Linked DNA regions of Struthio camelus. The protein of the gene in region 1 interacts with the protein of each later gene in a biochemical or structural test. Links are inferred from orthologs where the notes say so. Each region holds a gene or a part of one and is shown on either strand. Other genes may lie near its edges.

Region 1 (7,687 bases):
TCTCTCGCAGAGCCCCAGAGTGGGTGCTCTGACCTGCAATCTGCTCTGGAAAATTTTCCGTCTGGTAGGAGAAGGTATTTTGCTCATGTTGTCCCACCGGCTGGAGGCACCAGTGCCAATCTCCAGGTGTCGTCTCTGCAGCACCCGGTAGGGCAAAGAGCAGCAAGTAGATAAAGCAGGGATTGAGCAACCTACCACTGCAAAGGCCAAGCATGCCGGGTCAGAGGTGAGCAGAAAATAAGCAGAAGACTAACAAATACCCGAGCATCATCATGTCACATGGGAGCAAGGGGTGAGGGAGCACTGAGTCAGGGGGAGGACTCTGTGCTGCAACGAAAGAACCGCACGAGGCCAGGAGACCTGGCCGCAGCGGGCAGCCGAACAACCTGCCATGGGAGCTTGCAATGCTGAATACAAAAGCTGGAGTTCAAAGAGAGAGGGGACCAGGTGCCCACAGTTTTTTATTTCAAAATAAGGCAAAATCTCAGGTCTGAGAAGTAGGGGAGACAGAAGGAAAGCCAGCCTCTTCCTAAGTTGAGACATTGTCTCTATCTGATGTTGATACAGTGGAGCAGGGTGAGTGCAAAGCAATAGCCTGAAATTCGGCCTCTACCAGGTACAGCGCTTGAGTTTTTGCTGGCATAAGGTTGGCAGCTGCATAAAAAAGGACCTGGGGCCAGGAAGAAGGAAAAGGCAGAGCACAGAACATGCTCAGAAATAAACTTCCATTTTACTTCTCTATTTTTCAGCTTTTATTACAGCATGGCTCCACTTAAGTCAGCCTCTCAGACAAGATCACCTCCTACCCCCCAGCAAGCTCCCCAGGTCGCCCCCGTGCTCTCCCAGGCTCTCCCGAAAGCCATTACACTCTCTTCTTTAACTCACCTCCAACACACTGTCTGCAACACCTTGTTCACTGGTGCACGCCATCAACTTCTGGCATTAACCTCTTCCCTCTTAGCCCCTCTTCTGCTCCTGAACATCTTGTTTTTGGACCGCAGATCTCTGGGCGAGCTGCGTGTTCGCACCATGCTTACCATGCTGCAGCACTGATCTGACTGATCTGCTAGCAATTACTGCAAGGCAAATAACACATGAGAGAAGTCTGCAGCAAGAAGCATCAAAATTATAGCCAACTTTTTCCTAGCGTACAATCCCCAATCCATAGACCTTCTTACAAACACTTCAGTGTATGATGTGTCACTATTAAACTGGTATCTTCTCCTCTAGGCTGATGTCCTTCAGGGACAGCTGCTGTAACCTAGAGGGCAGGACTGGAGAGCTTGTAAGAAATAGTGGAAAAGAAGACAATTTCCAGAAAGAAGATGCCTCTACAACGCTTTAGTGTAGGGTTGAGCCTAGAGCTGGAAAATTGTGGCTTTACAGTACAGAAGGGAAACTGGAGGGCAGAATCTAAGTCCTGACAGAAATGAGCAGTGAATAAGAGATTCTTCCCTCCACCTTTTCCTCTTTCTGGTATCAGTGTGCTACCCTTCCAGTATTTATATTGTTTTACGCATGAATCCGGAAGCATCTGGATTTTATTGCATCAGAAAAAAAATTTTTTTTGCTCAAAAATGTTGATGTTCTAACTAAGTAATCTGTGAATGATGCCGTCTCCTTCCCCAGTTGACTAGTTCTGAAAAGGGAAATCATGAAATCATTAGAAAGCAGGCGCTTTTGACAAAATATTGACTTTCTGCTGAAGGTTGCTCTGTCAGGACACCCATTGCAAAAGTGCTCTCACCCTCAGGTATTTCACAGGGTGACACCAGTACCTGGACCCCTCAACCAAGAAATGTCTGCACCTCAATTTCTGCCTAAAGTATCTCTCTAAAGCGAAGGCTTTTGGGGAGGATTAGTAGCCCGTGCACATCTGGCCAGGCCAGGCCACAGCAGTCTCAGGGACAGGACTGAGTGTGCTCAGGCCCCTGCCCAGGCTGCCTGGGACAATCCTCCGCAGTGTGCGCCTTGCTCTGCACCTGCTCACGCTTCCAAAACCCCATTTCTGGCCATGCATTTGTTATGACAAGTGCAAAAACAAATTAAAAGACACAAGAGTTAGCTCAAAACTGGCTTGCTGAATGTGAGGGTTTTGGATAAGTGGTTAATTCCGCCAACAAGGTTCCCATGAGAAGTTGTGACTGGATGTTGCTTCCCCGTGAGTGGCTGCTGGGCTTTGAGGTGAGCTGGAGGAAGTTTAAAGAGATGCAGGGACAGTGCGGAGGTGAGGGGGGAGACGGGATGGAGGCGACAAGCTGGGCATCCAGCCTCAATTCCTGTGCTGGCTGACGTGTGATCTCCGTGAGTACAGAATTACTCAGCGCGGGCCTGGAAAGGAGGTGTGGGCCATACCATCTCTGATACAATCTCTTTCACATGATAGTTGCACAGACATTTTGTTAGGGAAGATCGGCCTAGGCTCAGGTACAACTTTCTGCTACAGAGCAGCAGCAAATAGGGCAGCAGGTCAAAGAAAGCAAATGTGAGATCCCCAGAAACATCTTGAAAATTTGCCCAGGAGATTTACCAGTTTTAATGTTCAGTTTTAGCTAACGGCCACGGTAAGCTAGAGATCTGCCAAAGACCAAACATGCATTTCGGGGAGCCATCACTGTAGGAGACCACCTGCTTGTGAGTCCCTCTGCTTGGAGGTAGAAAGCACGTGAGAGCAATTTCCACGAGTTCAGTTGCAAGGGCCAGTTACAGCAGCCGTTGCCTATAACTGCCAGATGAGAACGCAGGATAAAGACATAGAAGAAAAGAGTAAACTGCCAGAAGAACGAGCCCCGGCTCACTACAACTTGCCAGCATTTGCACCTAATACAGATGTTTGTCTTCATGAAGGTATGGGCTGCAGCTACAACCTGCAGACCAGATCTCTGGCCAGGCCCAGCTCCAGTTTAATCTCTGGTGCACTCACCAAAGATTAGCCTGGTAGATAAAGATGGAACTAGAAATATTTGAAGTCTGCAAACCTGTTAGGGTACTTTCATTATGGAAAGAAAAAGCCATTGAAAATGTGAAAAGAAAAAGAAAAGAGGAGAAAAAAGAAAAGAAAGAAAAGCCTGATGGTCTACTGACTGATTTCTGAATTCTTCCTCTTTTCAAAGTTTTGAGGTTTGAACATTATGAACAGTTGACTGTTTGAATCGCATAATGCAATACCTGTTCCTCTGGCTTAACGTTACAGTATTTCCCACACCGCAGGATTGCTTCACATTATTCTGAGAGGCAGTGTCATTTTCCCTGCAGTGCTAGGCCTTCTTTACTAAGGCGAAGGACACTCCTACTTCCTTTAATTATATGTTTTGTTTTAAATTAATGTCCTTTATTCTGGGGATGAATCACCAGCTTGTAGACAGGTAAATGTGGGAGTAAGAGAGAGAAAATATAAGTTTGATTCCCAAGGTGGGTGTCTTTAATTAAAAACGGACATCAAGATTCAGTCTTCCTTCCTAAACTTACCCTGCAATTCTAAAAACACGTGGATTCCATGTTTCTATGCACGTATCTCACTTTCCTTCTGAATCACTTTAAATACGGCCCCCTTCGGTTTCAGAGCACAAATTCCCTATCACTTGTGTACCCTGACAGTTGCACCATATCATGTAAAGTAAATACGCCAAGACAAACGTTAAGGCCATCATCCCTGCGTGAAGAGGTGGGGAGGGGAGCGCAGGGTTTGCTCAGCTCTCTAACCGCTCATAGCCGCAAGAAGGAAGTCTGGAGCAGCGCCGTGTCCTGCTCCAGCTCCATTTCACCGAGTTCCCTGCTGGCTGTTGTAAAGTGGTTCGGAGCACGTCTCTATGGGACAGTTTTGCCTGCCAGTGGGATTTACTTGATTAAACATTGGCCGGAGAATAACAGGATCTGTCTTCTATTTGCAGCTTTTTCCCTGCCTTGGCAAAAGAACTCGGAAAAATCCCTCCTGCCTTGATTTCCCCAAGGGTAAAACAGGACCCAAACGGGATTTGCACCCACCTCTGCACGGCACTTTCCGCCCTACAGCACTAAACCCTACTCTCAGGTGCAAAAGATCCAGCCTGTACTGGCACGACGGCGGCAGCAGCGTCTCAGGACGGGCGACACTCGTGTGTGTCCACGTCCCGCAGACCCTCCAGGGGCGAGTAGCGTCCACTGACCTCTCGTGCAGATTTTACAACAGCTCAGAAAAATCAGCCGGCAGGAAGAAAGGTTGCCCTGCTCTTTCTCTTACCTGCAGGACTGTGCGAGTAAGTCCCCTCCCTCAAAAGCCAACCCTGTTTTATTCCGGGTGGCTAGGTACAGTCGCACACGCACACACCCCCCAAGTGCCTCCTGCGGGGCCAGCGCCAGCGGTTGCGAAGTGTGCAGCGTGGCAGGCGGCCAGGCGCTGACGTTCCTGTTGCTATGGGATCCACCGCCCCTATAAATAACTGAGCAAAGGAACTTTCCTAAGTCAGAGACTTTAGGACACGGGACCCAGAACCAGATGGTCCGGAGGCGAAACGCCGGCTCGAGTAGCACCAGCAGGAGCGGTAAAGCCCCGCCGTGCCGCAGGAACTGATCCAGCCCCGGTGCTGGGCAGCGCAGCTGGGGGCCGTACCCAGCACCAGAGACTGAGGCAGGGTTTGGAGCCCCCCACCGCAACGGCGGCAGCTTGATCCTCTGCCGGGGGGGGCCCCTGCGCTGTTTTCTCCTCCCTGCATCCCTCTTTGCTTTCATGCAACGCCTGGTGGCCTGGGACGCAGCATGCCTCCCCATCCAGCCACCCGCCTTTAAATCCATGGAAGTGGCTAATTTCTATTACGAGGCGGACTGTCTGGCTGCTCTGAACAAGCTGCACCCGCGGGCGGTCGGGGGCCGCTCCATGACCGAGCTCACCGTCGGGGACCACGAGAGAGCCATCGACTTCAGCCCCTACCTGGACCCCTTAGCATCCCAGCAGCCGGCGCAGCCGCCTCCTCCCGCAGCAGCAGCAGGGGGCAACTTTGAGCCTGCCTGCAGCAGCGGCGGCGGCCAAGATTTCCTTTCCGATCTCTTCGCCGAGGACTATAAAGGCAGCGGCGGCAGCAAGAAGCCCGACTACACCTACATCAGCCTCGCCCGGCACAGCCACCCCTGCGCCAGCCAGAGCCACAAGCCGGGGGGGCTGCCGGGCTGCTTCCCGCCCCAGATCGTGGAGACCAAAGTGGAGCCGGTCTTCGAGACCCTGGACTCTTGCAAGGGGCCCCGTAAGGAAGAAGGGGGAGCCGGGCCGGGACCGGGGGGCATGTCCTCTCCCTACGGCAGCACCGTGCGCTCCTACCTGGGTTACCAGTCGGTGCCGAGCGGCAGCAGCGGGAACCTGTCCACCTCGTCCTCCTCCAGCCCCCCCGGCACCCCCAACCCCTCCGAGTCCTCCAAGTCGGCCGCCGCCGGCGGGGGCTACTCCGGCCCCCCGGCGGGCAAGAGCAAGCCCAAGAAGTGCGTGGACAAGCACAGCGACGAGTACAAGCTGCGCCGGGAGCGGAACAACATCGCGGTGCGCAAGAGCCGCGACAAAGCCAAAATGCGCAACCTGGAGACGCAGCACAAAGTCTTGGAACTGACGGCCGAGAACGAGCGGCTGCAGAAGAAGGTGGAGCAGCTCTCCCGGGAGCTGAGCACCCTCAGGAACTTGTTCAAACAGCTGCCCGAGCCCCTGCTCGCCTCCTCGCCGCGCTGCTGACCCCCGCGCCGGGCCGGGCCGCGCCGCCGCCGGCTCCCTCCTCTCGGGCCGGGAGAGGAGGAGAGCCCGGGGGGCGGATTGGTTCTGTTTTCGGGGTTTTTTTTTTGTTTTTCTTTTTTTTTTTTTGGTCTTTATTTACGTGTGGGCGGAAGGCCCCGCCACGGCGAGCTGCCGCGCGGGCTGCCCGCGGGGGCCCCGGCCCCGGCCCCGGCCCCGGCCCCGGGCGGGCTCCGCAGGCGGCGGGGCGCGGGGGTTATTTAAAACGGCGAGAGGAGAGCGAGGGCAGAGTGATGCAATCCTTTAAGCATGGCTGGGAATGCTGTGTACATGATGCAATCTCGTGTAACTGTCAGTCATGAATTGAGTAATCTGTTAAAGATGTTCCTACAGTTTTTTTTTTTTTATTATAAAGAATAATCTATTTCTATAAGAAAATACATATGTATATTTTGGGATCTATGCATTCTTGCTACATTTGAAGCATTAATGAACAATTTTAATAAACTTTATGACTAGGTTAAAAAAGTAGCTTGTTTTATTTTGAGAGCACGTTTAAAGTGAGATTAGAGACAGAGCTGAAAATCTAGCTCAATCTGGCTCAATGCTGAGATCAAGGACCAAGATTTTTTTTTGGTCTTTTGACTTTCTCTGTAACTCAGCAAAAAAAAAAAAAGGAGGGGGAGGGGGACGAAAAAAAAAAAAAAGACCTAGCAAAGAGCAGAGCTGGGAGCTTTAGCCAGTTCTTTCTTGCTGCCTCTTCTTATTTCCTCTTATCACTTGCTTTAGCTGCAGCTTGGGGGTTGTTTGGGGAGAAAGTGTTTGTTTTGGGGTTTTTTGCAATTCTCGCTGTTCTTGGTGTGTAGAGACGTGCTGTCCAAAGCGTGAGCAGTACCTAGCAAAGCAATGCCAAGTCTGAAGTGGGAGGGAGGAAGAAAAAAGTAAGGAAGGAAGTTTGAAATGAGTTGTTGTTGTTTTTTTTTCCTTTAAGGAGTGTCTATTCTCCAAGTTACAATTCAGCATTTCTTGTGTTTGTAGTTTACAGGAATAAACATGAGGAAGTAGCATATCTGTTGGATGTCAGTAATTTGGTCAAGGCTGAGAAAGCTTGCATGAAACCTGGCCAGGTGAGAGGCGCTTGAATAACTCTCCCTAGTACTTTCTCTTGAGACTTTTTAAAAAATGTTTCTAAAAACCGTGGGTAGAGTTTCTCCGTTGAAAGCTGTTTGTTTATGTGTGCATGCGTGTTTGCTGGGGCAAAACAACAGATAACGTGTGGGGGTGGCAGAAAAGGAGGAACTTGCAATAGGCCATAACTTTGTTTCAAAGAGCAATAAGGCTTTGCTGCCGCTACGGAGCCCGACTTGCCAAGGCCCCCGAGCCGTGTATTTCCTGACTCCCCACTGTTCGCTGCTGTGTGGATGTCTGTAAAAAGTTAACCGTCTTGAGCTGGTTACATGGAGGGAGTTGAGCAAATGATCAAATCTTACTCAGCATTTTCCATTTTCCTGTTAGGCCAAATTTAACCACTAAGTTTTAAAATCTGGATTCCCAGTGCCCCGCAAAAGAAATTTCCTCACTGTCTATACTCTGTTTGACAGCTGAATAGAGAATATATTTTTTTAAACAAAAAAGTAGATTTGAATTTGCTGCTGTATATTCCAATATAAAGAGTAATTTTTGCAATTCTCAATGCAGAAAAAGGAAAAATCTTGATTTTGATTGCTTACTTCTAGCGTTTCTTTAAACAAAGCATGAGTTCTGCTGAAGGAACTGTTCTACATTTTTGACACTTAGGATCTTCTCCTCCTCCGGCAGGTAAATCTCCCAGAGCTCTTACTAAAATATGTTTTGTGTTGCCTGCTTCCGCTATGCCTCCATAGCTGCTACCAGGGGCTGTGCAGGGCTAAGAAGTGAAGTGTTAGACCTGAAACAGATTTATCTCTTTTTTTTTTTTGCTTTTTAATTTGTACAGTGCAGTTAAGTTGTTTTTATGAG
Region 2 (7,111 bases), on another chromosome or scaffold:
GCTAGCTGATGCTAAAAGAGCTAGAGAAGACGTGGGGGCAAAGCAAACAGCTGTTGGCTTGCTGGTCCCTCTCCTTCTGGGAAACATTCCCTTTATTCTGCACAAGTAACTGAGTTAGTCTCTTTCATAAAGCAGTACGATTTACTCTAGACATTCTGGTAACTTTGATATTTTGATAACTGCAAATAGAGTTGGAAGATGCAGTAGGAGAATCAGAAACTGTAAATACTTTGTTGCAAAAATTATTAGCTACATAGAGAGAAAGAACAAAGGCACTGGCTTTTTCCTGTAAACGAACGCCAGGCAGCGTTACAATAAAATGGATGTTTGCTATTAGAATAGAATGGTTCCTTTCTTTACTTAGTATTTTCTAGAACAAAAGCACTGCAACTTTCCAAGGCTATAGTGAGTCAGTGCTAGAACTAGAAACGCAGTCCTGAAATAGTGACCACCACTAAGCAATGCTTCCTCTCCTTTCTCTTCACCTATTCATAAAGGCTGTTACTGACAAATAATCTATTAATAGACAAGTTTCTACTATTTAAACCATTTGGTTTCTACCAAATCTGACTGAGAAACTACTCAGAAATTCTGTGCTTTTCAAGTGTAAGCTTTTTCAAACAAATGAAAAAACAGAGGTATTGATAAGAGCTTTTTTCCCTTTCTTTCTTTCTGAATCTCATTTTTTGAAATGCAGATTTCTGACAGAGCCAGATTCCTGATTGATACATTAAACTCAGCAGCCCTTTTGCTTTCTGGAGCTTTTATAACCTCAGCTATACCAAATCTAGATTTCTAACATTATTTTGATCTTGGTGTAGGTCAGTCCTGAATACAAGCAATAATTATTGTAATACCAAGGTGCAAAAACTATCACAAGACGACAGTTTTACAATCTTAAGATTAGGGAGAACCTTTATTACAGACTATTTCTGGGATACCCCTGAAAGAATGCCATCCACTCGGTGAACACCAGGAATGTGATCACATTCAAGAAATTCTATCTAGCTTTGAACAAATCTACGTTGAGAGAGCAGGGGTAACAGTTACTAAGAAAACCTTTTTAAACAAGACTCGCAATAGCAAATGTGAGCTAACTTTTCTTTTTGTTCTCTTTCTTCCATGTCAGAACAGACAGAAGCACACTGCTGCTTTCTTATTATTTGTTCAATATTCTGTTACGACACAGCTCTATTTGGATGATTAAAATTGAAACACTAAATGGTGGGAGGGGGGAATTACAGATCTGTGTCCCTTCAGCTTCTAGAAGACTTCTACAGAAAGACAGAAGGTTTTGGCATCTTCTAGTATATTTGCCTTCAAATACATTAGTATACCTTACATCACAGCTGGGCACTGTGTCTTTTTACCCAAGGGGCCTATATATTTCTGTTTGTAAAATATTAAAAAGTATTCACTGTTATATTAAAAACATTTAATTGCCAGTGTTCCAAATCACAGGAAAACAAATGATTGAATTCTCTTCTAGAAGAATTCAAAATGCACAGAGGTTAGACCAGAAGAAAAACTATACAGTAACATCATGTGTGAAAGGTAAACCATCAACAGAAATGTGCAAGTCTGAAGTAAAAGGTCCAGTGAAGACTAACCAGGAGAGAAATGGAGGCAAAGAACTGAAGGCTTACAGGAAAAAAAAAAAATCTTTTGAAGTGTAGGTTGTAGTCCAGTATGTTTGTATGTTTTTTTATTTTAGGATAAAGAATTAACAGTTCAGGAAGAACAAGCAGAAACACTGGAATCAGACACAAAATAAAAGTGATTCAAGAGAGACAAAATAGCTTTCACAGACTGTAAGTGGAAGGTTGCAGAGAACTTCTTAAATGTATCTGTAAGGGTTAAGGGAACATACTGAGCTTTGCAGTGCAATATCACTGCAGTATAACGTGTATAACCTCTGGTTACCTGTAATACTCCCCAAACCAATTTATCAGTAGTGTGACTCATACATAGTGGGTAATAAACAGGGACAGTCACCCCAAGAGACTCCTCTTCCCTTTACACTTTCTGCTTCTGATTCCCACAGACACTGTCTTCTTCCAATTGCTTTTCTGCCTCTAACTGTGATTTTCTGTAGGTTATTTGAGAATGCTGAATGTCTTTTTTTTTTTTTTTTAAGGAACAGAACCTTTTAAAGAGTGATTAGATTGGATTATACAGGTGAGAATAAGATACTATTACAGATAATAAGATACTATTAAGTACAGTCTCGTGGGTAGTGTTGCTATGGGAACCCATCTAGAACCAGAGTGAAAAGGGTTCCACCCCAGCAGGGACTGGTCGGCTTATGATGCTGAAACCCAGAGCTACTGCACGGCTGAAGTAACTTGTGAACAAGCAGGTAAGGTGTATGCTTCCATATCATGTCTGAAGAGTAGATGTCCATGTATTTTTGTGATTACTTTTTAGACTTTTCCCATCATATTCTATTGTTACTGCAACACTGTGAGAAGAAATGAATTCATCTTACAAACTCTTAAGCACACTGTGTGATGGTTTTCATGTGACAGGATACAATGCCAACCAAGTGCTGGAGCTACTTATGTGTGTGCTTTAAGGTTTAAAGTTTCAGACTCTATGAGAATGAGTAGGTCTACATTGTATTTTCCTCAGTTTTCTTTGAGGAAGATTAATGAATGGTCATAAAGTGCTCTACAATCCCAGGAAAGCGCTCTAAGAGCACACACTTACTTAACTGTTATAAACAGAGGATAATGTTTAATGCTTACCTGGAATCTTTGCTCTAGTTATAGGTGGATGAGTCACCATCAGAGAAAACGTAGCAGTTTCAACTGACAAATAAAAAAAAATTAGAGATGTTAAAACACATACTTGATGACTGACACGGAAACAGTATCTTCATAGTAACGAGCTGAGTAAAACTGCCCAGACAAACTGCCCCAAATTCTTCTGCAAAGGAGGTTTATTTTCCTCAAGGCTTTACGAAAACAACAACATAAAACCCACACAACGTCAGACGGCCACAAAAATGGCAAATAACAAATTATTACATCTGCTTTACTGAACGCTGCAACTATGCTTACAAATCTGATTCTTCCCGCTCTTCTTTTGCGGACGTAGCACATGCTTCACAGACAGGTCTACGTTGCACCGGCGTGGCGCACACATTGAAACTTTTCCTCTCCGCACTTAAACAAAAGCTCTTTTCCCACACTGTTCTTCTGGATGCCCACACACCTGAGCCTGCTCAAACCTCGACTACCTTGCATGTTGACAGCTTTCCTACTGCAAACGCATACACCTGTGCGCCGCTGTACACCTTTTCCATGCAAAGCGCTAAACCACGCTTCAGGCACGTACAACTGCGGAGACGTGGGCGCCTGTCGTCACAGCGCACACGCTAAGGCAGTTCCAACACGGTTGGAAAAGTTTTAAGGCCCAAAAATTCCTTCTCTAGAAATAAACAAAAATATTTTAGAAGAAGCAAAGATACGCCAGCATAAGCCGTGCGCAATCTCTCCACGACACCGCACTCCCCCTTCCTGTTTCTAGCCCCCTTCCCTGGGTGGGAAGTTTTTGAGCAGCAACTCATAACCCACGGCATTTTAGGAGTTTATCGTCACTCCTGTTGCCAAGAGCCGCTCTAGCCTCGCATGGCGGCCGCTTCGGGAGGAGCCCAGGGGCGCCGGGCCCGCGCGTGGGTGACGGCACGGGCGACACCGGCGCGCAGCTCCGGCCGGGGCCTTCCCCGAGGGACGGCCACGGCCACGGCCACGGCGCCCGCTGGGGGCCGGGGCCTGCCCACCGCCGCGGGGCGCGCGACCTCCCCACGGAAAAACACGGCCTCTCCCTTTAAGAGTGTTGACGGGGGCCTGATTGGCCGCGCCCGCTGCCAATCCGGGCGGGGATTGCATCATGCCCCGGCGGGACCCTCGCCGCCCATTGGCGGGCGGCGAGGGGGCGGGAGCAGCGCGCGGAGGGTTTCGCAATCGCCGCTCGCTCGCACTCAACACTTTAAAGAAAGAGACTCGGGCCCGGCCCGCGCCCCCTCCCCGCCCGCCCGCCCGCCTCTCCCGCGGCCGCTACCGGAGCCGCAGCCGGGCCAGGTAAGCGCCGGCCGCGGGGCGCGCTGCGGGGAGGGGGGGGGGCCGCGGGGATGCCGCGGGGGGGGGGCGCGCGCGGAGCGGCGCTGCCGCCGCGCATGATGCAACGGCCGGGCGGCCCCGCGCTGCGCGGGCCCGGCGCTCGCCGCCTCCCCTCCCCTCCCCTCTCTTCCCCTCCCCCCGGCGGCGGCGGCGCGCGGGGCGGGGCGGGGCGAGGAGGGGGCGGGGCCGCCGGCGGGGCGGGGCGGGGCGGGGCGGGGCGGGGGGCGGCGCGGCCGGGGCCCCGCGCTGAGGCGGCGGCGGGGCGCTGAGGGAAGGCCGCCGCCCGGTGGGGACGGAGTCGCCGCGGCCGTTAACGGCTTCGCGTTGTTCAGGGATAAAAGGCCTGTGAACAGGGATTTTTTCCCGAAACGCCGCTGATGTCGTTCTGCCTGCTGGAGAGGGCAGCGAGTTCGCTGCGCAGGTTTCTCAACGCCTCAGCGCCCGCCTCGCGCTGCCCTAAGAGACAGCGCTCCTGACAACTCCTGTTTTTCTCTTTTAGCTCCTCAGGGGAGTTTTTCAGTACCTTTAAAATATCTTTCTGGCTCCCAGATGAGCTTTTATAGCCCCATACGCAGCTTTCAGAAAACACAGGCCTTGACTTTTAAGTATTTTGTTGCAACACCTGCTAGGAAACACCTTGCCAGTCAGTCGGACAACTTAACACAAGGTTATGTCCTGCTGGTTATAGCACCTGCTCAGAAAGTGTAAAAACGTACGTTTTGAAAAAGTTTAAGAGGCAAGGAATTAGCTCATCTTTAAAAATAGTTAACTGCATTGTTTTTCATCAAAATCGAGTTGACACCTCTGTAGTTTTGCCTCCTGGCATCCAAGACGGTTTGCGAGGCTTGCATCATTGGTTTTGCTAGACTGTGATTGACATGCATATTTTAGATGCTTTTCAAAATATTTTTAAACATGCTGGAGTGCATTTCTCTTGTACATGGAAAAAGTGGAGGTTGGGAGAAAAATACAGGAAAGCAACGTTGCCTGTTATGGCAGCATAACAGATTTCGGCTCCCTCTTCTGAAGAAGCGTCGCCTACCGTCCAGAAGGCGAGAGCTATCGTCAGCTCTGGCTAGCTTGCCCGGGAGCCGAGAGGTTGCAGGAGGCCGTGCAGAGCTGGGCCTTTCCGCTGCTCAGCAAACGCACGCCGGGCGTTTTACGCTGTTGTTCTTTATACAGGGTCATCTGGATTTAGAGTCAGATCCTACTGGGGTATTCCTACTGAAGTCAATGACAAGGGAGGCCACGTATTGCTGTTCAGATTTGGACTGATTTTGCACTGGATAGACAAGACAGCTGATCGAATTTGTACAGTAAAGTCATCCTGACTAATGATCAGAGTCAACAGAGTCGCAAAAGAAGCAGAGAGAAGCACTTTATATTTTTTGCTGCTAAGTAAAAAAAAAAAAAAAACAAACTGGTTTAATTAACAAATTAAAACATCTTTTTTCCCCTCCCAAAACAAAAACTTGGAAGTTTAAATTTCTTTCTCCCCCCCACCCCCTTTTGGAAAAGCAAAGATAATAAAGGTCTTGATTTGCTTGGGAGTCTCTGTAGTCCCTGAGGAGCGCTTTCAGACTGTAAGAAATTTTCCTGAGAGGACACCTCTGAGAAACCAGCTTTATGCTGTAGTGGGTGGCCAGCTTGTGTCCTGGGGGGCCAATTGGTGGCCCAAGGAGAGAAGAAAGCAGTTTTAACTGGCCACTGGAAATGCTAACATGTGCTGGGTGGAACTAGCCTAGGGCTGTCACTGAGCTCAAGCTAACCAGCTGCTTTATGGGAACAAGATGCTAGGAAACTTGAGCCGGCTCTCCAAGGAGCTGCCCCCTGCTATGCTGGGGCTATTGCCCAGTCACAGCAAACTAACCTGTTCCTGGAGAGGAGAAGAGCAGCTGCGTGTCTGTGGCAGGATACCTGAGACCCAGCTGCCTCCTCGTGCTCTTCCCCAATTATCGTGTCCTTTACCTCAGCTTCCTCAGAACCTCTTCCTTATGTCTCCTAGCTGCAGCCTTTAAACCTCCTTGCAGTATTCCCGGAATGCCCCAGCGTAGCTGTTGTTATCGAGGATATCCTTCCATGCTGTTGTTCTGTCGTGTAACTGAAAACTTGCAATATAGATCCAGCCTGCAAACAACCCCAGGGGAAAAGAGTAGTTTCCAGCATTGCCAGTTATTGCTCTTGGGTTATCTGGGAGGCAGTACAGTTAGGGCTACTTGCTTTGTACAAATATTAGTTGGAGCAGGACTGGCATCCAGGTATCATCTCTCTCAGGTAAGTGTTCCGATCACCAGGCTAGACAGGAACCTGTCTCCCTCAAGGAATAGCTATTTAATACAGGATGGATCTGCTGCAGTAGGAAGGAGTTGAGGAAGATCTATTCCAGAATAACCTGTGCTTCATGGCCAGAACGTTTACCTGAGAGGTGAGAGGCCTTGGTTCATCATCTCTGCTAAGAACCACATACTGCCCAACTAAACTTATTTCAAGTATTCCATTAAAATTTAGTTTAATGGAACAAATCCTTTTCCTTTGAATTATGGGAATTTGGTAGAGATCTTAAATATTTAAGCAATATTAAATGGTTTTGATAGCATAGAGAGAAATAACACGTGGAACCTGGTGATGTGAAGAAACTCGTTAAACTTTGGGTGGAGTGCCTTCAGGTGCAAAAGCCACCCTTTCCTCTGTAGTATCTCATGAAGCACAAAAAAGCAGTTAGTGAAAATGGTACTTCTCACATACTACCTAACTGGGCTGTCCAGATGAAGTTAACAAGGACTGTAATTTGTTGAAACAGAGGGCATAGGAAAGTCTTCTGTCCAACTTTGAAAACATCCCAAAAATTAGTGAAAAAGTTTGGTTGTCATAGCCAGAGATGATCTAACAGAGCTATTATATACTATTTGAGGGCTACAGAAATGCTATATTTAGAAATGTAACTGAGACAAAGCCAGAAGAGCAAATAGTTGCATCCCGACTTTAAA

What was found.
Region 2: the proteins of CEBPB (region 1) and CEBPG form a complex in vitro, tested with the Homo sapiens proteins (2 studies listed by BioGRID and IntAct, with this or other methods). The link is inferred for Struthio camelus from reciprocal best matches to the Homo sapiens genes CEBPB and CEBPG.

The regions. Positions count from the first base shown.
Region 1 is NC_090959.1:10,031,306-10,038,992, forward strand, and holds the start of CEBPB (CCAAT/enhancer-binding protein beta), read left to right. Parts: upstream 1-4,417; 5' UTR 4,418-4,705; coding exon 4,706-5,692; 3' UTR 5,693-6,816; intron 6,817-7,425; 3' UTR 7,426-7,687. UniProt on the Homo sapiens protein: Important transcription factor regulating the expression of genes involved in immune and inflammatory responses. Also plays a significant role in adipogenesis, as well as in the gluconeogenic pathway, liver regeneration, and hematopoiesis.
Region 2 is NC_090951.1:12,240,287-12,247,397, reverse strand, and holds the start of CEBPG (CCAAT/enhancer-binding protein gamma), read left to right. Parts: upstream 1-3,921; 5' UTR 3,922-4,085; intron 4,086-4,415; exon of another isoform or gene 4,416-5,306; 5' UTR 5,307-7,111. UniProt on the Homo sapiens protein: Transcription factor that binds to the promoter and the enhancer regions of target genes. Binds to the enhancer element PRE-I (positive regulatory element-I) of the IL-4 gene. Binds to the promoter and the enhancer of the immunoglobulin heavy chain.